2 linked regions of the Cricetulus griseus genome follow. The protein of the gene in region 2 purifies or fractionates together with the protein of the main gene of each other region. This does not show direct contact. Links are inferred from orthologs where the notes say so. Each region holds a gene or a part of one and is shown on either strand. Other genes may lie near its edges. The genes, in order: Ubn1 and Cabin1.

What was found.
Region 1: the proteins of Cabin1 (region 2) and Ubn1 purify together in Homo sapiens (affinity purification with western blotting; 6 studies listed by BioGRID, with this or other methods). This does not show direct contact. The link is inferred for Cricetulus griseus from reciprocal best matches to the Homo sapiens genes CABIN1 and UBN1.

Annotation. Positions count from the first base shown.
Region 1 is NC_048600.1:41,642,753-41,653,592, forward strand, and holds the start of Ubn1 (ubinuclein-1), read right to left. Parts: upstream 5,107-10,840; 5' UTR 3,474-5,106; intron 1,368-3,473; 5' UTR 1,329-1,367; coding exon 1,080-1,328; intron 1-1,079. Other genes in the region: putative oxidoreductase GLYR1, read left to right, coding at 6,083-6,120, 7,189-7,225, 8,138-8,217. UniProt on the Homo sapiens protein: Acts as a novel regulator of senescence. Involved in the formation of senescence-associated heterochromatin foci (SAHF), which represses expression of proliferation-promoting genes. Binds to proliferation-promoting genes.
Region 2 is NW_023276806.1:262,931,676-262,941,750, reverse strand, and holds part of Cabin1 (calcineurin-binding protein cabin-1), read right to left. Parts: intron 7,168-10,075; coding exon 7,004-7,167; intron 6,281-7,003; coding exon 6,184-6,280; intron 5,847-6,183; coding exon 5,172-5,846; intron 3,811-5,171; coding exon 3,736-3,810; intron 1,440-3,735; coding exon 1,157-1,439; intron 1-1,156. UniProt on the Homo sapiens protein: May be required for replication-independent chromatin assembly. May serve as a negative regulator of T-cell receptor (TCR) signaling via inhibition of calcineurin. Inhibition of activated calcineurin is dependent on both PKC and calcium signals.

The sequences.
Region 1 (10,840 bases), on a different chromosome or scaffold from region 2:
AAAAGAAGTTAATGAATAGGCAACACTGTAACAGTTGAAGATGGGTAACAGGTACATGGCTGTGGCTTATACTGTACTCTCTACTTCCATGCTTATTTGAAAGCACACATGTTTGGAAGTTCCATACTAAAAAAAAAAATAAAATAAATGTGCCAAGAAAAGAAATACATCAAGGCTGGTGAGCCTAAGTCAGCCTAGGCAACATGAGACTCTTGGCATTTCCTACCAAGTATGATACCCTGAGTTTCATTCCCAGGTCTTACATAATGGAAGGAGAGTTCTAACTCCCACAAGTGTTATGTTTTCTCTCTGGGTGTCTCTCTCTCTCTCACACACAAACCCCACATCCCCTCCCCATAGCAAAAAAAAAAGTTAAAAATTTAAAAAAAAAAGAAACAACCCTCTTCTGCTGTGCAGGTATACATGCAGCACTGTATACACAATAAATACAACTTTAAAAAAAAAAAAAAGAAAAAGATCAGTTACAAATAATTTTTAAGGAACCAAACTTATTTCCAAACAGCTTGAAGCCTACAAAGTCAATTATGGCAAAAAAAAAAAAAAAAAAAAAAAAGTATTAAGAGTTTAGGCGGAGCAGTGGTGGCAGACTCCTTTAATCCCAGAACTCGGGAGGCAGAGGCAGATGGATCTCTGTGAGTTTGAGGCCAGCTTGGTCTACAAAGTGAATGCCAGATTAGGCTCCAAAAGCTACACAGAGAAACCCTGTCTCGGGGGAAAAAAAAAAAGAAAAAGAAAGAAAGAAAGGAAGAAAGAAAGAAAGAAAGAAAGAGGAAAAAAGAAAGAAAAAGAAAAACACAGAAGCAGATTTTTATGCATTCAGAAACAGAAACTACTCAAGATAGTACTGGGCTACTTGTCAGAAGAGATATGCATAAGTCAAGAGAAGGATTCTTAAAAGAATTCTCTTCCCACCCAGTTTTTGCTCTAGATCAGTGGTAATCTTGGGGAAGCCCAGGCCTCTCTAGCCTCACCTCTCTGATATAAAGAAAGGCCCATGTGAACATTTTGGTATCTTCATGTTAGGTCTGCAGAGCAACTCTGGATCTACTGGCATGTACCTTGTCTCCAGGATGAAGGCCTTTCACCTTCCCTCGGATGTTCTTCACCAACTCTGGGTAGAAGAACTCTGGGCAGCGTTTATGATCTGGTTCAAAGAGGGTGAGTGTAATCCGAACAGCAGCTGCAGCTGGCTCACAGTCTTGATGCTGTTCTGTTCCTCCAACTTCCTCTTTCCTGGACTTCTTCAAAAATGCAGGATTCAAAGAACCTGGGAGAGAGGTGAACTGGACCCTGTGGGGCTCCGACATGGCTACCAACAAGTCTTAGCAGGTGTCACTGCATGATTTCTGTTAATATTGAAAAGAAGGCCCAGGTCAAACTAAAATAACAAAGATAAACATTTTTAAAATAGCAAAAATAGTTGTCAATTACACAAATTTAAAAAAATTTCCTTGTCAAGAAGAATTGATTGATAAATTTTCCTTAACTCATTTAAGTAAATAGTTGTAAATATAAATTTTCCCTATTTTAGAAATAATCCCACATCAAATAATTCAGGTCAAAAGCCTGTGTATTGATGCAGTCAAACTTTGTTGTTTTGTTTTGTTTTTTTTCTCATATCCTTTGTGCCTAGAAAGCCCTTTGCAAACAGACCATATAGAAGAAATCACACTGTCAGTCTTTTATAGATATTCACTTTTAACTCTAACCTAAATTGAACTTAATATGCTCTAAGGTCTAAGGTCTGAGAATAGGATCTAACTTGTTTGTTCCCCAGTACCAATTACTGAATAAGCTTCCTTTCCCTGCTGATTTGTCATAGACCATAGCAGACCTTATATACTTATGGTCCATGCTAAAAGCCATGTTACATTAATCAAGTACTTGAAAGATTCTTTAACTAGTACTGCTCTGTCTTGGAAACTCTTATACTTTTAGTATACTAAAATTAAAAGTTCATCTTTATTTTCTTTTTAAAAATAATGACTGGGGGATGGAGAGATGGCTCAGTGGTTAAGATCATGGGCTATTCTTCCAATGGACCCAGGTTTAATTCCTAGCACCCACATGATAGCTCACAACTGTCTGTAACTCCAAGATCTGACACCCTCAGATAGACATACATGCAGGTAAAACACCAATGCACATAAAAATAAATTATCAAAAAATAATAATAACTGGCTTTTAACCTATTTCAGAACAATTTTAGACTCATTTGTGCAAGTCCCCTCCAAAATGTGACTGTACTTCACAAAACAAACAATAAATACGAATTCAGGATGATTTGTCTATTTCCGTGGGGGGGGGGATATAGTCAAAATTCATTATCATCGTAACAAGGTGATAAAGATCAGATAAGGGAGTAAAAACTATACAAAAGACTTTTAAAAAAATCCTTCTAATCAGGCACGAAGCAGTAAAATAGATTGGCCTATAGAAAATGGTTACCAACATGCACTAGGATACTGGGAAAAAAGAACCCAAAAAGAAACTTCCAAAGGTCTCAGGACATTGGTGAAAATTCACCTGACTGTGAAAATAAACCTGAACTGAAAGTTAAAGACTTATAGGCTCCCCAGTGAGAGGAAGCACAATCTTACTGTAAGAAACGATCAGCAAGTTACTCAATTGGATGAAGAAAGTGGCAACCAGATCCTAGTCTTTCTGTCTAGCCAAAAATTTTAAAATGTAGCCTCATCTCAGTACAGGTTTTTAGAGGGCTCGCCTCAAACCCACACAGCCAGTAACAATACTCCTGTTAGCTATAAAAGTCTGTGCAAGCTTTAGCCAGCAGGAGACAGACTAGAGGACAAAGTAAATCACTTATTAACGCTTACAAGTCAGATTTTGGTTAAGAAGTTTTATGATCATCACAACATACTATTCTGTTCTTGGGCTAGGCCATTTGAAACAATTTAAGACAATCAGATATATATTAAAGGTCATGTTAAACTTATGTATTTAATTTCAAATACTTAAGAAAATGTAATTAAGTTCTAAAGTCCATACAAGAACCCAAATTGCACTTATACAATTAAATTTATGAGTTATGATCTTGGAAAGAACTTACTATAAGGCTTACAAGTTTATCTCTTTAGAAATATGAAGTAGCAGGGCAGTGGTGGCACATGTCTTTAATCACAGCACTCAGAAGGCAGAGGCAGGTAGATCTCTGTGAATTTAAGGCCAAGAACTATAGCCTGATCTACAGATCAAGTTCCAGGAAAGCCAGGGCTGGAAACATCCCCACCCTCACAACCAGAAGAAAAAAGAAAAGAAATAAGAAGTATCTGAGAGAATTAAGAAAAAAACTACTGTAACTTAAAATACTTAAGAGAATTAACCTGGTTTAAAATAGTTAAGAAAGTTTAATCTGTTTAAACTGGTGTTGTCTCAAGCATTTGTCCAAGTTTTACTTTTACATGCATGTGTGTGCATGTGTGAAAACTTACAGAAGTTGGTTCTCTCATTTCATCATGTGGGTTCCAGGGACTGAATGTAGGTCTTCAGGCTTGGAGGCAGGCACCCTTATCTGCTGAACCATCTTGCAGACCCTCAAGTAATTTTTTGACATATAAATTCTTAAATTTGTAAACAAAACATTAATGAAATTTCACAAGTCTTAAAAATAACTAAGAATGGGCTGGAGATGTAGCACAGTAGAGTACTTTCCTAGTACTCTGGAGGCCCTGGGTTCAATTGCCAGTGTTAACCTGGGAATAGTAATATACACCTGTAAACTCAGTATTGTGGAGGCAGAGGCAGGAGGATCAGAAGTTTAAAATTACTCTTGGCTACATAAGGAGTTGAAGGCCAGCTTGGATTACATGAAACTATCTCCAAATAAAATGACAAAAAGGGGGGGGAAAAAAACAAACACAAACCTAGAGATTAGGGTTTGTTCCTTTGTTTTTTTGAGACAGGGTCTCTCCATATAGCCCTGGCTGTGAGATTAGGTTTTAAATATTCCGAATGAGTTAAGCATTAGAATGCCACAAAGGGGGAGGAAAATTCTTTTTAAAAAGGATTGTGGCTAGAGAGGTGGTGGTTCATGCCTTTAATCCCAGTAGAAGCAGGCAGATCTTTTTGAGTTTGAGGCCAGTCTGGTGTACAGAGTGAGTTTCCAGAACAGCCAGGACTACAGAGAAGCCCTGCCTTGAAAAACCAGGAGGGAAAAAGATTATGCAAAACCCACTGGATTCCTCTGTAGCTCCAGGTATTCCCAGGGACTGTTTGTTTTTGTTCTCACACATTCTTAACCATTTTACTTTTTGAACAGACTACTGATGAAACAGAGAAACGTGTATGCTAATTTTATCACTAATTTTTCCTTATTTAATGGCTTTTCTTTTTTGTTGCAAAATGCAGTTTTATTATCTGCAAAAATGACAATTTTCCTTTCACATTTATTTTTGCTTCCTACCTTATTTCATTAGCTTGAATTAGATAGCTGTCTTATTTCATTAGCTAGAATTAGACAATGTATCCTTTGCCCTATTCCTTACTTTAATGGGATCACTTCTAGGTCTACTTGTAAAGATTCACAATTAAAGTCATTAAAATATTTTTTAATTCCTCCAAAATTCTATTTCTAAATTAAGAACACTTGTTGAAATTTATTAAGTAATTTTATGAAATATTAAATACATTTTAAATGGTCAGTTTGTGTTTAAAATAACACAGTGTAAATGAAAGCCCTGCAACTAATCTGTGGTATTTCTGAAAAACTTGTTTCCAAAGGGGAAAAAAAAAAAAACAACAGGCTGGGGTTAACCCAAGGCGCCCACCCAGCTTCACCTTACGGTCCCCAGAGCAATTTACAATCAAAGCCTCTACATGGGGACACTGCCTTAGGGAAATGGGCACGACCAGACACCTTCCGAGCGGGCACTGACTCAAGAGAGTAAGCTGTAAGTTAAGTCCACCCTTAAGTCCAAGTACACCCAGCCGTCTGTTCTAGGAGTGAGACTTTCTTACTCAAAAGTCAGGCTTCAACCACGTCTGAGGAAGTTAGGGCAGCCGCCCTGCCCCTGGGCAGCTAACAGTTCCCACTACCCTGTCATCTGTCTTCCAGCTGTCACAACTTCTTGCAAAGTGAGACATTACTTACAAAGGCTAACGCGGGAGGCTGGACCGGACCGCGGCACACACCGTTGTCCACAGAGCCGACGCGGGCCGCAGACGTCCCCCCGTGGCGGTCCTCATGCCGGCCCGGGACCCCCGGGCTGCGGCGCGGCTCAGCGGCCAGCTCCCGAGCGCTGCATGCGGGCGCGCGGAGGGCCCGCGCCGCAGCCCATGGCCGGGTCCCCAGCCCGTGGGAAGGGAGCCTCTCTACAAACCGCCGCTTTCTCTCGCCAGCCGGACGGGGGGGGTGGAGGGGGGAGCCGAGATATGCCAAGTCCACGTCCAAGAAAACAAGTCAGGCGACGCCGAGGACGCTTGGCGCGGATGCCGCTCCGGAAACCGACCGTCGAGCGGGGCGCTCCTCAGCAGGCTGGAGCTCCCGCCCCGAGCGCGGGCTCGCGGGAAACCAGTGCCTCTCGGGCCCGCGGCTTGGACCGAGACGGGCTTCCAGGCCGCGCCGGGGTCAGTCAGGGCAGCACACGAGCTCCAAGACCCGTCCACCCGGCACCTCAGGCTCAGGAACGGCCCGGGGCCCGCGCCCGACTAACGGCCGTAACGGAAGCGGCAAGAAAGACTTGAGATGAGTCCAGAGCCCCGGAAGCGAGGTTGGGCAGCTCAGTCGGCTTCCTTTCGCGCTAGTCCGGCCGCGCCGCCTCCGCCGCGGCTGCTTTGGACCGTGGACGCTTCGTTGTCACGAGCCGGAGGGAGGAGGGGACAGGAGCCTGGAGTCTCTGGTTTTCGACGCGCTGAGAGCGCGGCGCTTAAGTCACGGGTCTCCAAGCCGCCCAATGAGCGCCAGCGACGCGGTGACGTCAGCGCACCCGCTTGGCGGATGACAGCAGGCCCCCGTCACGTGGTCAGGCCCACTCCAATGGGCGGTGCCGCGGCGACCTGAAGTTCCCGGCTGCCTGTGCGGCGGCGGTGGTTGGGTGGTAAGATGGCGGCTGTGAGTCTGCGGCTCGGCGACTTGGTGTGGTGAGTCCCGGCGGCCAGGGCTGAGGGAAAGACGGCGCGAAGCTGTTTTTCCTAGGTGCGGCGTTTGCGGCTGGCCCAGGAGTTGCTTTATTATGCGCTCTTGGCGGCGGAGACTGGGGAAGACGAGGTGCCGCCGTGCTGCGAACGACGCTTGGGCGGAAGGGGCTGTCCGGTCCCCGGGGGACCGAGGCCGAGGGTGGCCGCGGCGATCCGGGCTCTGAACCCCGAGGCCATCCCAGGGGAGGCCTATGGCTCTGGAACCCGGACGCTGGCTGCCAGTGCAGAGAACTCCGTTGTCGCGCGGGTTCCCGAGTCCCGGGTCGCTCCGGGGCTCCTCTCAAAGCCAGAGAGGCTACCTCGCGGGGGACAGAGCCGTCCAAACCGATGGGACAGACGTGGGCTCGAGGCTCGGTTCCAGGTGGCGAAATCAGACTGCCTGGAGCTGCCCCATGAAGAAACCGAGGGGAGGGGGCACTTCTCCTTTGCAAATGATAGCTAGGCGGTGACCAGTGCCTCTTGTTCTGTTCCTTGTGTCCCCGACAACAGCCAGAATCAAGACTGACCATTGTCTCCTTGGAGCTGCGTAGTTTCCCGACCTAGAGGAAGGTTTCCATGATCATTTGTCAAAGGAAGGCTGAATTAAACCAGACTTAGGGGAAGTCTGTTTACGGAGAGAACTGTATCCAACCCTGTCACTGGGACGCCCCAGACCACCGACTCTTAATGCTTTTGTTATTCTATATTCCTTCTCAGTGAAAGAATGCACAGACCTCAGCGCGGGTGCGGGCGTGTGTGTGTGTGTGTGTGTGTGTGTGTGTGTGTGTGTGTGTGTGTGTGTGTGTGTGTGTGTGTGTGTGTGTGTGTGTGTGTATGTTTACACACAACTTTCTGTATTCCATGTGTGAGGGTCCTCAACCCATCTGTGGAAGGCCCAGTTTGCCTGCTTTTGTTCTGGCCCTTGAAAGTGCCAGGCTGGAGTTATAGGAGTATAAACTGCTTGTTGAGTGGACTGAAGGAGATGGACTGGCTTTTCCAGGGCAAGTTCTGACTCTGTATTATTTTCTCTAGGGGAAAACTGGGCCGATATCCTCCCTGGCCAGGAAAGGTGAGTGTATTGCTGCTATTAAAGGAAGACATCTGAAGTTGAAGTTAGGGTTGTGGGAGAATGTGTTGCGTTTCCCTTAATCTCCCAACACTGACTTAAAATGGGCTTGTTCAGATAAGACTTAGTATTTTACTTCTAGTTATCAGTTTTGAAGGAATATCATAAACCAGAGTGTTTAATGTGCAGTAATCACATCTTCAGTCAGAGATGGTTTGTGAAATTTGTTGTTGTTTTTTATCTTGGAAATCAATTGTGATCAGAATGTAGCATTGTGTTTAAATCTAAGAGAGAAGAAACAGATTCTCCAGGAAGAGAGAAGTCTAAATGTAGGTTAGTGAAAAGCCAAAGTATTTTTGTCCCAACTAAGTTTAAATCTTCTCCTGTTACCATATGTGCTGCTCCAGTGCATATCTGCAGAAGTTGACATTCCAGATTTTTCAAGAGGTGATCCATCAGAGCTTTCCAAATGTTCTGGTTTTTTAGTCTTGCTAGCAGTCCAGGAAATGTCTGTAGACTTTTTGCAATATGGTGTTTCCTATGCCTCAGTGGTCCTTTATTTTCACCATCTCCTGTCTTTAACTCTTGCTGCACTGAAAGTATTTTGAAGAATGTTTTCTGTTTCTTCATTGATCACATGTATACATTGATCACATTGTATACCAGGAGCCATTGAAGTAAAAACTGTATCTACTAAACAGTACACAATCTGTTAGCTATGGGTTATTTAAGAAATAATTTCTTCACATCGAAATAGAAAAGTGCCAGATATGGGACAAATATAAAGCTTTGGTTTCTTTGTTTTGTTTTTGTCTTTTTTTTTTTTTTTATTCCCTAGCCTAGTTAGAGCTATAGCAAATTACCTTTCTAGTAGGCTGCTATGTTATCATACCTTTTTTCCCTTTTATCCTTCAGATTGTTAATCCACCTAAGGACTTGAAGAAACCACGTGGAAAGAAATGCTTCTTTGTGAAGTTTTTTGGAACAGAAGACCAGTGAGTAGTACTCCCTGAGAGTTCATGATATCTTTGGGTTTTTCTCTGAGTCTGAGCTGCTTTGGGAATGTTCTGAGACTCCTTAGTTCAGGCTTGCTAAAGTGTGTGTGAAAAAATGGCACCTCATTCTGGCTTCATGCCTAAATAAAATGTGGTATTCTTTCTTTCATAACTGGCAAAAATTATTCTGGGGTGAATTATTATTCACCTCTTACCCGAGGGAGCAATATCCCTCAGGTAAGAACCAGAGTTTATAACTTTCTACATATTATAGGCACTTTGAAGTAGTTTCTTATATCTTCAACATTTCCCGATCGCTTCTCTCTCTCATCAATTTTTTAAAAATTGTGTGGCCTTATGGATGAAACCTAGAGCCTTGCCCAGACTAAACAAGCCATTGACCACTGAACTACATCCCCAGATGATTTCTTTTAATGACTATGTAGTATGGTCTGGTTCTGAGGTACACTGAAAGCTAAGATGTTATTTAATAAAATACTTTATTTCCCAATATGTGCTGTACTGGAGGAATCTAGAATCATTACTTTGAGGTCTTTGATATTACAGAAAGCAGTTTAAGAAGTTACACAGAGGGAAGAATGTGTATTAACTTGAATTTACAGTGGCTTAACTCTCTCCTCAGTACAAGATGATTGCCTAATTCTGGCTAGATAACCTGATTTCTTTAAGCTATTGTTTTTGTATTTATAACTCTTAAAAGAAAAATGTTACTTTAAGTTTAAAAAATGATTTTTCTGCTAAATCTGACACTATGGCTAAAATATTAATTCCTTAAAAGCAACATATAATATTATATATGAAAGGCCCTAACGGATTGCTTTACACATTGAGGAGTTTAAGTGTTGGAGTACTCTTCCAGGTTTCAGTTTGCATAGTATGTTGACCTTCACAGTACAGCTATACCCTGCCCCCATTTTCTTTTCACCAGCCAACTTACCAGCTTTGTGGTGGCAGTGGAAGATTACTCTGAGTTGTAAGAGCAGAGACTGTGGAAGAGGGAATGTTGTTCAATGCCATGAATTGAGACTGGACTATAGCTCAGTGGTAGAGTACTTGCCTGCCGTGTACAAAGCCTTGGGTTCAATCCCCATTATCACTACTGCCCCACCGGCCTCAGTAAGGAAGCAAAGTGTTATTGCCATAGACCACTTAAATAAGATTATCCTGATAAGAAAAGCAGATATTGGTTGTGTTGCATATGAGTCTACATTCCACAGTGCTAGATAATGAAGGAAATCCTAGGACAGTGAATGTTGTGGTCCTCGCCTCAGTAAGGGATCAAGATTTAATAATTCAGTGGGGATAGTGTGCAAAGTAACCAGGGTAACTAGGAAACGATGATGGAAGAGGGCAAAGTCAGTGGAGAACAGCAAGGTCTAGGAAAGCTGATGGAAGACAAGATGGGAGTCCAGTTTGGATGATCAGGAACAGAAAAGGCAATATGGATTTTTATTGGGTTGTGGGAAAGATGAGGCTTCTTGTCTGGGATAACTGATTCTAGGGAATCATAGGCAATATTATTAGCCACACTTTAAGGGTGACTAAATGAAAAATTAGACATGTCTGAAAGAAATATGGAAACTCATTCAGATTATTTAAGGTATAAAAGCCATTATTTGGTAATTTTTTAATGCTAAAATCCTAGAAGGATATATAGTGGTTTCTCTATATACACAAAAATATTAGAACTAAGTAAGTCATAGGAAATCTGAGTTGTATAAACTTGAGTACCCGGTGATAAAGGGCATGTCCTGAATACATACATAAAACCCATTTCTGGTAGTGATGGTATGATTTCTAAACAGTAAGCTCTCAAGTAGGTGCATAGCAAGTACTGAAGGCTTGAAGTCATTTATAGGTACTAGTTGCCTCTTAGTTCCTTGATGGGGTCCATATTAAAAAAAATTTTTTTAGAAGGGCTCAGGGTAAAGCTTAGTAGTGTAGTATGTGTTTGGCATTCATGAGGCCCTGGGTTCAATGCCCAGTACTTTGCAAAAGATGAAACCTACTGGAGGACTCAAGTACTTTGTTTGTTTGTTTGTTTGTTTGTTCGGTGGGCAGTGAACAAGGGATAAGGGTTTGCAGCACTGCTGTTAAGGACAACCTCCTTGGTGCTCAGTGTTAAGGCTGGTTTATTTAGTGTACTATCTCTGGAGGTGAGATCTCCAGATCAGCTGTTGGCAGCAAAGTACTTGGGGAAATAGTTTTGAATATGTTGTCTGCCTAACATGTATCAAATAACTGGTTCTACCTGCTCTTCTATCTAAGCAAGCCATTTCACCTTCCTAAGCCATCATCATATGGGAATGCTTTGTGAGGAAAAGCAGCATCACTTCTAATATGAAAGGATACATTTTTCCACTTTTGTACTGTGCTCTCCACGAAAACTGTGTGCAGTTTAGTTATGTCTCCCAGAAGACTAGATAGAGCTAGTCAAGATCCAGAGAAGACAGAAGAGTAGGGCTCTTTACTATGAGAAAGCAAAACCTGAAAGGGGGTGGGGGGGGGGGACATAGTCAGGAGTTAGGAACCAGCTAGTGACTCTCAAAAGTTCTGCAAGGGACACCTCAAGTGGAATGTTGTGTAATTGTTCAAGAACAGC
Region 2 (10,075 bases):
CAAGCCCTAAGGGATGGCTCCAGGTATGGGCAGGGGACCTTGAAACTAGGGTGTCCAGCACACAGACCAGGTCTCGAAACGTAAGAGAAAGGAGGGTGGGCAGACTGGTCTTTGGTTGGGGCAGCAAGCTACTTAGAGAACATCTTAGCTCTTTTAGGGTCTCTGGAGCCTGGCTATGGTACCAGGGTCCTGGGAATCAACAGGGAAATGCCCAAGGAGTATCTGCACCAGTGAGGAGGATGGTGCCTTACCTACTCCCTTCCCGTGTGTGCTATCTTGATGCCTTTTCCTCCTAGGAAAGAAAGTTCCTGCTTGCCTGCCACGCTGAGAGCTCCCGCCTGATTAAGCCAGCCGGTGCCACCTCTATCACATCCTGTATTTTCTTCACAAGTCCATCAACCTGGTCCTGCCTCCTTCAGCTTGTCATGCCTACACTTTGGGACAGATGTGGTCCTGAAGACTCCTGGGAGCCTCAAAGACTGCCGAGGTCTGACCCTTCCACAGAAGCCTGGCCTGCTCTAGCTCCTGATCTTCCTAGTTATCGTGGGGCTCTACTGGGGCAGAGACCAGGACAAGGGTACACTCTCCAGTTGTGGTGCCTATTCCCTGTCCTCCTCACAGCGGCTGTGCTAGTTTGAATGTAATTGGCCTCCATAAGCTCACACGGAGTGGCATTGTAGGAGGAAGTGTATTACTGTGGGGGTGGGCTTTCAGGTCTCTATGCCATAGTTCACTTCCTGTTGCCTGCAAGATGTAGGACTCTCACCTACCTTTCTAGTACCATGTCTGCCTGCATGCTGCCATGATGATAATGGACAGAACCTCTAACTGTGAGCCACCCCAATTAAATGTTTTCCTTGTAAGAGCTGCTGTGGTCATGGTGTCTCTTCCCAGCAATAGAGACCCTAACTACGATAGAGGACAAGGTTACCAGAGTTAGAGACACAGGCAGTTCCAACTAAGCCATAAATACTGCCAGCAACTGCTACCTGGACTAGCAGCTGACTGTACCAGGGTCACCCTGGTGAGAGGACCCCCCCCCGAATGCCTCTTTGCCAACTCTACAGGGGAAGCATTGCTGGTAGAGGAAGACTTGGCTATGGGAAAGCAGAGTATGAAGGTCTCGGGTGGTCAGGTAGATTGAGAGGGCACTTACCAGGACTCAGAGAGGTCATGCTGGTGGTAGCCTCTGGCCTGTGTGGCCGGGGAATTCCGGGATCTGTGGACAAGTCTGTGGTAGAGGTTGATGATGAGGGAGGGCAACTGATGACAGCTGTGGCAGAAGCCAGTACAGTTTGAGGCTTGACGTGGGAGTCACTGGGCCTCTGGAGCGCATCAGCTGGCAAGGGGTCAGGTGCTGTGGGGGCCACCGTTGCAGGGAAGAAGTTCTCTCTGCTGTCTTTGGGGTGCTTGGGGGTGGTGGGTGCATCCCCTGAGGCCTGTGGCAACATAGCAAGGTGAGGAAGGTCAACGGAACATGCATTGCCCTGTCCCAGGCCAGTCCAGTTCAGTCCCCCAGGACACTTCATCGGGGCCCTGGATGCCAACACAACGCCATGCAGCACTCTGAGGTTGTTGGTTGTGTCAGAAAGCTCGAACATTTTATCAAGACACAAGTGACCTCAGCACAGAGTTGAGAATCCAGATTCTCCTTCGCTGGAGGCATCCAACCATGCTAGCAGGGCCTCATGAAGACCTGGCTTATTTCTCTGCCCCTTCTGCAGTGCGAGTCTAGGAGAAACCCATTCTCTTATGTCTCTCTGTAGAATGCAGGGCCCAATCTTGGAGCTGTAGGGATGGGTGGTGAACCCACGAGAGTGACTTTCCAAGGGGGAAAAATGAACTAATTTATTCCCCAAGCTTGAGACCCTAAGGTATTACTAATGCTACCCCAAATTAGCCAAGCAGGCCTTTTGTTCGCCTGCAGCTTGGCCTTTGGTTTCCAGGAAGCCAGGCCCTTGGTCTCTGACTCTTCATATAGTTCCCTTTGCCTTGCCTTGGTACCCAGGGTGTTCTCTCTTCAAAATGTCTCACATGGAGACAAGTCTGCAAGTTCTGTTATGTGGTGGGTGTCTACTCCGCTGGAAGGTGAGGCAAGAAGCCAGACCTGCATCTTGGCCTCAGGAGGTCACAGGAATGCTGGCAATGTGCAAGATGGCAGACACGGGAGAGCGAGGCCTGCATCCCTACCCTGCCTCCAACCAGGAACAAGCAAGTCACTGCCTCTAAGGAGGCCACATGAGGCTGGCACATCAACTGGGACCCCAGAAAACAAAATGGAAATTCCTACAGGGGCAGGAGACTTTAGCTCTGAATGCCTGGTGTCTTCCTATTGCCCAGAGATGGACCTAGGCCATTTGTAACTGTCTCAACTGCCCTTGTCAAAATGCTCTGTGGGAACAGGGTACAGGTGGAGTGCCTTGGGAGATACTGAGAAGACCAGCCTGCCCATAGCCCCCACCCACTGGGATGATCATGGGATACTAGCGGACGCCACCACTGTTTGGTGGAGGTAAACACTTGTAATCCCAGTACTCACGAAGCTGAGGCCAGAGGATTGCCATGAATTATAGGCCAGCCTGGGCTATACACCAAACAGCAGGCTTTGTGGGCAACAATCAAGTGGTGAGGTCTACTGGCCGGTTGGTCAATCCTGCCAAGGATTCTGCTTCTCACCTAGGATGCTGACACACAGCCTGCAGGCTCAGAGATGAATCAATCCCTGTACCCCTAGACCTAGAGTCTGGACCGTGTTGATGCCCTCATGCCCCATTCTTCCAGGAGGAAGCCTCTCTGGACCCCTAAGATACTGTCAACTGCTGGGGCTCCTAGGACAAGGCATCCCCAAACTGGGCCACTCCTAGGACGAGAAGACAGACCCCACAATGCCATGGACAGTGACTGTGACTACTAACAAGAAGGCTGTTTTGCCTCTTCTGATAAGACTGACCTGCAGGCTCTCAAGGCTTGACAGGGGGTGGCTCTTAGTTCTGCCAGGTTTGCCTCCATACTCCTCCTAGGCTGTTCTGTTCCCTGGCAAGATTCAACATGAGTCCACCCCAAATCCCCCTTTTTGAGACAGGACCTGTCTATGTAGTCTTGGTTGTCCTCGAACTCACAATGTATACTAGACTGGCCTAAAACTCACAGAAATCCGCCTGCCTCTGCCTCCCGAGTGCCAGGATTATAAAGTGTGCGTCACTACGTCTGGTCACCAGGAGCTCTATCTTAAGCCTGGAGGCTGCTCTCAGCCCAGCCCAGAAGGAGCCCATGTGCTGGCCTTTCTGGCCATCTTCCTCTGCATCATCAGCTCCTGGAGACCCTGGCTTTCTATAAGCCCCTGGCCCCTGCCTCCACCCCACATTCCCTGCTGCTTCCATCCTAGTTAGCCAGGCTCTGATATCACCTGTCTACCAGTCACAGAGGTTAAGGCCCTCTCTAGATGAAGCCTAATGGCTCAATTCTGTCCGTTCTACTCGTGAAGGAGCCAAAGCAAAGCACCTTAGGATCCATATGTATGTCTGAGTCCTGTCAAGGCATTACCATTTTGGGGTCATGACCCATTATCTAGAACCCCCCACCACCCTGATGACCACTGGAACCAGCCCCGTGGCATATTTGCTTGTGGGCCTGCAGCTCAAGGCTCTGGTGTGGGTGGGACAGGTTCTGCACGAAGGGCTGGCGTAGGCTGGACGTGGGTGGTGTGCATGTGTTTGTGTACAAGACAGAACTTACCTGTCTCTGGGCAGCAGCCCCAAGGTGGACCTGACAGAACTTCACAGCCTGCTCCAGTGCAGTCTCCTCGTCCACCTGAACAGAGAGATGCCTGAAATTAGGGTACCTAGGTCATGGTGCCTGACCTGCTCGCAGCCCCGTTCCCTTAGGGGCCGTATTAACCCAGCTCAAGAAGGGCACCCTGTGTGACCTAACCTCAGTGAGGACACACCCAGCACCCGGAGTCTGTCGCCGGGGTGGGAATGCGGGCCAAAGGTCCATGTACCAATTGCTGCTGTCAGGGCTCTTCCCAGTTGGCCCTCAGGCCACATTTCCACAGCCAGTCATTTATGTCCTCCAGGACCGAGATTGACAGACGTCTCAGACCCCAATGAAGCTTTCAAATTCAGCTGAGAGCTGGGCTTTGTACATGTTTTAATGTCAGCACTTGGGAGTCAAGATGCAAGATTGAGTGTCTTAGGACAGCATAAACTACACAGTAAGACCCTGTTTCAAAACAAACCTGATCAGTTGAAGAGGCTGTTACAGGCTGGTTTCTGATCTACCTTAAGAGTGGGTTGTTGATTCCAATGGGAGGTGCCTTTTCCAAGTTCAGGTAGGACAGTAACCGTGGGCCATGCTAAGTGTGTACCACAGACTGAAAGCCTCACACATATGGAGGGCAATGATACTGGATAACTGGGGGATTATCCCGAACAAGCACACGTGGCTTCAAGGAGATGGCCACACACATACTGTCAAGTAAAGATGGGAACAGGCAATGTAGGAAACGACCAGGTCTCCCCTGCAGAAAAAGCAGCAGCATCCATACTGTTCCTAAGAATTCATGGCAGAAACAACACTAGGCAGTGGGAGAGGATCTCAAAGGTGCCATGCGGGAAAAACAACCACCAGGGACAGTCACCCCATTTGCACCAGTTGCAAGTCCTGAAGGATTCTTCCCATGGGAGTAACGTATCTACTTGTGGGGCGGGGGTCAAGCAAATCGAGAAGGTGGCAGACTCTGTGGGTTGCCATGCTTGGGCTCCTCCCAGCTCTGTTCCTTCAGCTGGGTACCATAGCCACCCATCGCAGGAAGTGGTTCAAATGTACCCAGAGGCCCCTCAGAGTACAGGGACCAGGGGCTTCCACACTCTAGGGCTGGACCTGAACTGTAGTTTAGCCTTCCTTAAAGGTTGAATCCACATGCACACCCCATTGTTTTTTGAGTCTAAACTTATTACCTACTCATCAGAGATAACACGCAAAATAAAAAACACCCTACTCTCAAAAAAGAAAAAAAAAATCAAAGTGCACAGTGGGCACAATACCTAAAGCCCACCTCAGGGGTGGGCCCTGACACATATGCCGAGAAGGAACCTTCTGGAGAACAGAAGCCCAGGCAATGAAGGCGTCTGAGACAGATGCAGCCCCAGGTTAGCACAGTGGCTGCTTACCTGCTTAATGAGCATGTAAGTCTCTGACATGATCTTCTCAATGCGGCCCAGGTCATAGGCCATGCCCTTCTGGCCCTGTTGCCACACGCGGTAGGCATCCAGCAGGAGAGTCTTGCCAGACTCTGTGTCCTCCAGGAGTTTCCTTTTGCGATTAGGCCTTGGAGGTGCCTCCTCAGGGTGGCCACCTCCCCGGGCTCCCATGGTGGGGGGAGTAGTGGTGGTGAGCGTTACTGGGCTTGGTGTAAGCGGAGTGGGTTGTTGTCGGGAGCTGATGCTCAGCTCCTCTAGGGAAAGCTCAGCAGACCGGCTCTCGGGGGGCCGGTCCCTTGGAGGGCGGCCTGGAAGCAGAGGTGATGTCTGTTCTGAGTCTGGGTGGCGAACAGCAACCTCACTGGTATCCATGAGTTCAGTGGGCCCTGCCTGGGGGTTCTCTTTGTCTTTCCGCTCCCCACCCTGGTCTGTGCTGTCCCTTGTGTCTGTGGCCATTGGCAATTGGTTGAGAGGGCCCACTTTGCCCCCTGGTTCAGGCCCTGGTCCTGAGCCATCGGCTAGAGGTAGCTTCTTGGGGTGGGGGAGGCTTTCCTGGCCATCCTCGGGACTGGCTTTGTGAGAGACATCGGTGGTCATCCTGGCTCCAGAGAGGCCACAGGGCTTGGGTCCTGGGTGTTCTAACCCCTACAAGGGGAACAGACAAGTTAGTGGTGCTTCGCCATCTCAGAGCCTCCACGAATCCCTTTACCCAGTGCCATCCTGGTTACGTACATGTGCCAGCTGGACAACACTGCGACAAGAAGGGGCTGGCCCAGGGTCCCACCCTCCTCACAAGGAAGCGCATGTTGGGGAAGGCTGGGCAATGGGACTATTTGCTTCTGGGAGGGCAGGCACAGCCTGGCTTTCCCAGAGAATTGTGATGTGAGCCTTGTGGGAGGCTGACATGGAAAAAGGCCCTGTGCAGGGCCACCAGTGGCCCCTAATACACAGGCCTGGGCTGAGGTGGGGCAGGCTGACATACCCCTGCAAGCTCACTCAGTGTGTCCTCCAGCACTTTCACAGTGAGGATGAAAGCCCGCTGGGCCAGGACCTGGCGGTCAGCATCTCGTAGGTATTTCCTGCGGTCACATGGGGACAGAAAGAGTGGGACAGTGTCAGAAACCATATAGTGCAGCTAAGTGGTGAGCCGCACTTATCCCACAAGCACTAGTGACTATTCCCACCTATTTAAGTCTGTTCCCCCAAAGTGCCCTTTGAACCTCATATTTCATATTCAACAAGCCTCTGACTTGGTCCCAGTGACCACCCTGAGCCCTCTGGACTTACAGGTTAGCCAGAGATCAGTGCTATGGTGGGCTAAGTGCCGGCTCAAGGAAGGCTTGGGGGCGAAGTTCTTCTCCCTCAGGTTGGTTTCTGGGATAATGCTTTACAGACAGCCTAGCCCAGCTGTGGCAGACACCCTCTGTTCCGTGTGTCCCATCCTTCTGGCCAATGAAACCCTGACAGTTCTTGAGGTCCAGGATCTCTGCTGTCCACCTATTTCCCTGGGGTGCCAAGGCTATTTTCTGAATGTCTACTCCCTATAGCCCACACTAGTCAGTGCCTCTGAGAGACCCAGGTTGGGCAGAAGGGGGAGGAGGTCTCTAAACGTGCAGACTATTGACATGTTAGTCCTAGGGTGCTCGAGGCAGAGGTGGAGTTTTGAATTCTAGATACTAAGAGATGTCCCTCAGGGAAGGCTGTGGTTTCTGGACTAAAAGATCCCCGAGCCAAGTGGTAGCAGTGGGGACAAGCCTGAGAAGATGGCCAGCCAGGCTGTGTGTGGTGGCCCGCTCACTCACTTGCCCTGGTCTGGTGTCCGCTGCAGCATGGAGGACACCTTCAACAGGGTGCTGTGGTCCCGGAGCTGGGCTAGAACCTTGAGGAGCAGCACGATGGAACGGTTCATGTGCCAGGCAAAGCTGCCTGGCCGGTCAATCTCATCCACGGGGATCCGCCAGATGCCCTATGGGATGGGCAAGGACAGGCTAAGGAAGGCTGCCGTATCTCTGGAGCCGTGGGGACACCCCTCCTGAGGTTCCCTCAAGCCTGCCACTGTGCATAGGGTCTAGCCAGGGACCTCTCAGCCTCTTCTTGTCACCCAGAAGAGGACAGGTATATGGCTGCCTCTACCTGTTCCCTCCTCATCCATGGCAGAGGACAGTACAAGCGAGGCTCTATAGCCAATTTTCCAAGGCAAAGTCCTACTGAGTGGGCTGAGTCTGCCTTACTCACCATCCTCCTGCCTCAGCCCCCTCTCTCTGTTGTATGGCTGTATCCCACATGCTCACTGGACCTGTTCCCTATGGTGGCTTCCATACCGGGCATACATTTCTCTGCACAGGTATTGGTAAAGATACAGAAACAACTCCCGGGGGAGGGATGCTGAGCCAGAGGGGACCGGTTACATTCTAGCTGCTGCTGGAGGCCAAGCCCCTACAGTCTCACTTCCCTCAGCTCCGTTCCCCTACTGCAGCGCCAAAGATACCCAGGCCCCCACCACTTGAGTCATATCAGTTGGTTTTGGTAGAATCTCTCCTCTCTTCTCTCAGTCCACATCTAACCATGAGGCGTTGTCCACCAGCCCTCCCTCCCTCACAACCTGCGGTCTCCTGATGACAAGCCTGGGATCTGACAATCACTTGGGGTCCATCAGGGTGCAGGGGCAACACGGGTGCCAGAGGTAAGAAGTGATGAGTGAACCCACACTTAATGAGACCTATCTGACACAGGAACTCGGCAGCCTGGAAGAAGCTGGCAGATCCCTGTGGGGTCCCTGTAGCCAATCACTGGAGAAGCTCTGGCTAGCACAGGCCCTGGATCTTGACAGGCTTCGTTTTGGGTTTTTCGGATCTCAAGTGCCAGTCATAGGGATCAGAGTAGCATCCATGTGGTGCTCTGTTCTCATGGCAGCTTGCTATTAGCATTCCATGCACTGAAGTGTAAACCCGTGCTCTGGCGGGCCAAGGGGATGGGGAGGAAGGAGAGCCGGAGACGCTTAGCGCCCCGAGTCCCTAGCCCCACAGCCTCCATTCTGGGCCACAAGGATGTCTAGGGGCTGAGAATATCCACACCCAGGACAACAAACACCATTACATATTATGTCCATCTATAAAAGCTCATAAAAAGCCACACGGGGTATGCATATATGTTACTCTCAACTACAGCAGTGTGGGACCCCAGGAACCTCTCTGCTCCTAGGGCTGATGCCAGCCTAAGATAGCCTACAGTGGCCATGAAGGTATTCAGCAGTTGCAGCAGTGCAAGGCTAGGAGAGGGCTTCATTTTGTGAGGAGACGTCACAGACACCATACACGGAGATCTCATCACAGACATGCAATAGACTGTGGAGCGCAGAGACACGGAATGGACCTCCTGGAGCTATAGACTCAAGGGGCTACCCAGAACTGAGTGGCCCTCACCACCCACAGTTTTGAGGAAAAGATCCCTGTGGGTCTTCACAGGGAAGCCTGCATACCTGGCTGCAGCAGCCCTTGAGGCTGGGTGGTAGGGAGAGCCACCCTGAGATCTGGTGTGACCAGGTGCCCTTTTCCAGATATCCTTCCAACCTGGAGAGGCCTGGACTCAACCTGGATCCAGATGTCTCCCACTTTCTTCAGACCTGAGAATGGCAGAGGGTCTGCCTGACTTCTCAGAGATGCATGCAGAGCCAGGCACAGTGGTGCCCACTGTACTTCTAGTGCTCAGGAGGCAGAGGCAGAGGCAGGCAGATCTAAGTCTAAGGCCAGCCTGGTCAGCACAGCAACTTCCAAGCCAGCCAGGGCTACATGGAGAAACCAGATCTCAAGACACCCCCCCGCCCATTTGCATTTGCTCATCTCAACTGTGCGGAGTAGTACCATGACTAGAATGAGGCTGACTGACCTCCAGGAGCAGGGACAGGCAGGGGAAGGAGCCCTACAGGGCTCCCAGGTGTCCACCTCAGCCTCCAAGCCAGTGGTACTGGAGTGCAGACATGGGCAGGCTCAAGGGCCCCCAGCTAACAATGGTTGGCTTCCAATGCCTATCCACTCTCTTGTATCAGTCATACATACTGGAGGTAGCTAGTGTCAACTCTGGTTAATTAGTGGAATGGATCTTTTCTATATGTACGGCACAGGGTTGACCCCAGGGACTGAAGCCTTATCAACTGGCCTCAGGGCTTTGGGTGTGCTAGACAAGCACTGTTAACCACTGAGTACATCCCTAGTCCTTGTTTGAGACAGGCTACACTATATACACAGGTTGGTCTTGAACTCTTGACCCTCCTGGCTCAATTATATACGTGTGTACCAAGCTAGGTCTCATTGGCCTTTTTAATTTTCTATCTCAACTGCATGCACATGAGCCTCTGTTCATGTCCTATGTTCTTCCACATCCTCTGCCCAGCCAACACTCCCAACGTCTTCCCAGGCCCATGTGACATCTGATCCCTCGTCCACGAAGCTCCCGTGACTTGCTTTCTCTGACATGTTGGAGATAACTCAAAGGCCAGCCTTTCTAATAGCTTTGCAGCTGGCAGTGTGTCCTGGCCAGGGACAGTCTGCTTTAGCTCTAGGTCCCAAAGGCTCTGACACAAACTTGGCAGAGCGGTAGGGTATCCATCTTGAAAGTTTTCCGCCTCCCATTTTATTGGGTACAGGCTATCTGTGCTGGGCAATCCTAACTCTTTCCCTGTTCCTGGAAATTTCCATGTTCAACTGTATGGGACAGGTGGGAAACAAAGCTCTTCTGAGCTCCAAGTGTGTATGAATCCCACTCTTAAGGGGACACAGGAACTGCATAAGGATAACTGACCCTTCCCTAAAAGGCAGCCAGTGCCACGTGGCGATGGTATGGTTCTGACCAGTGTTCACTGAGCACGGTTATGTCAT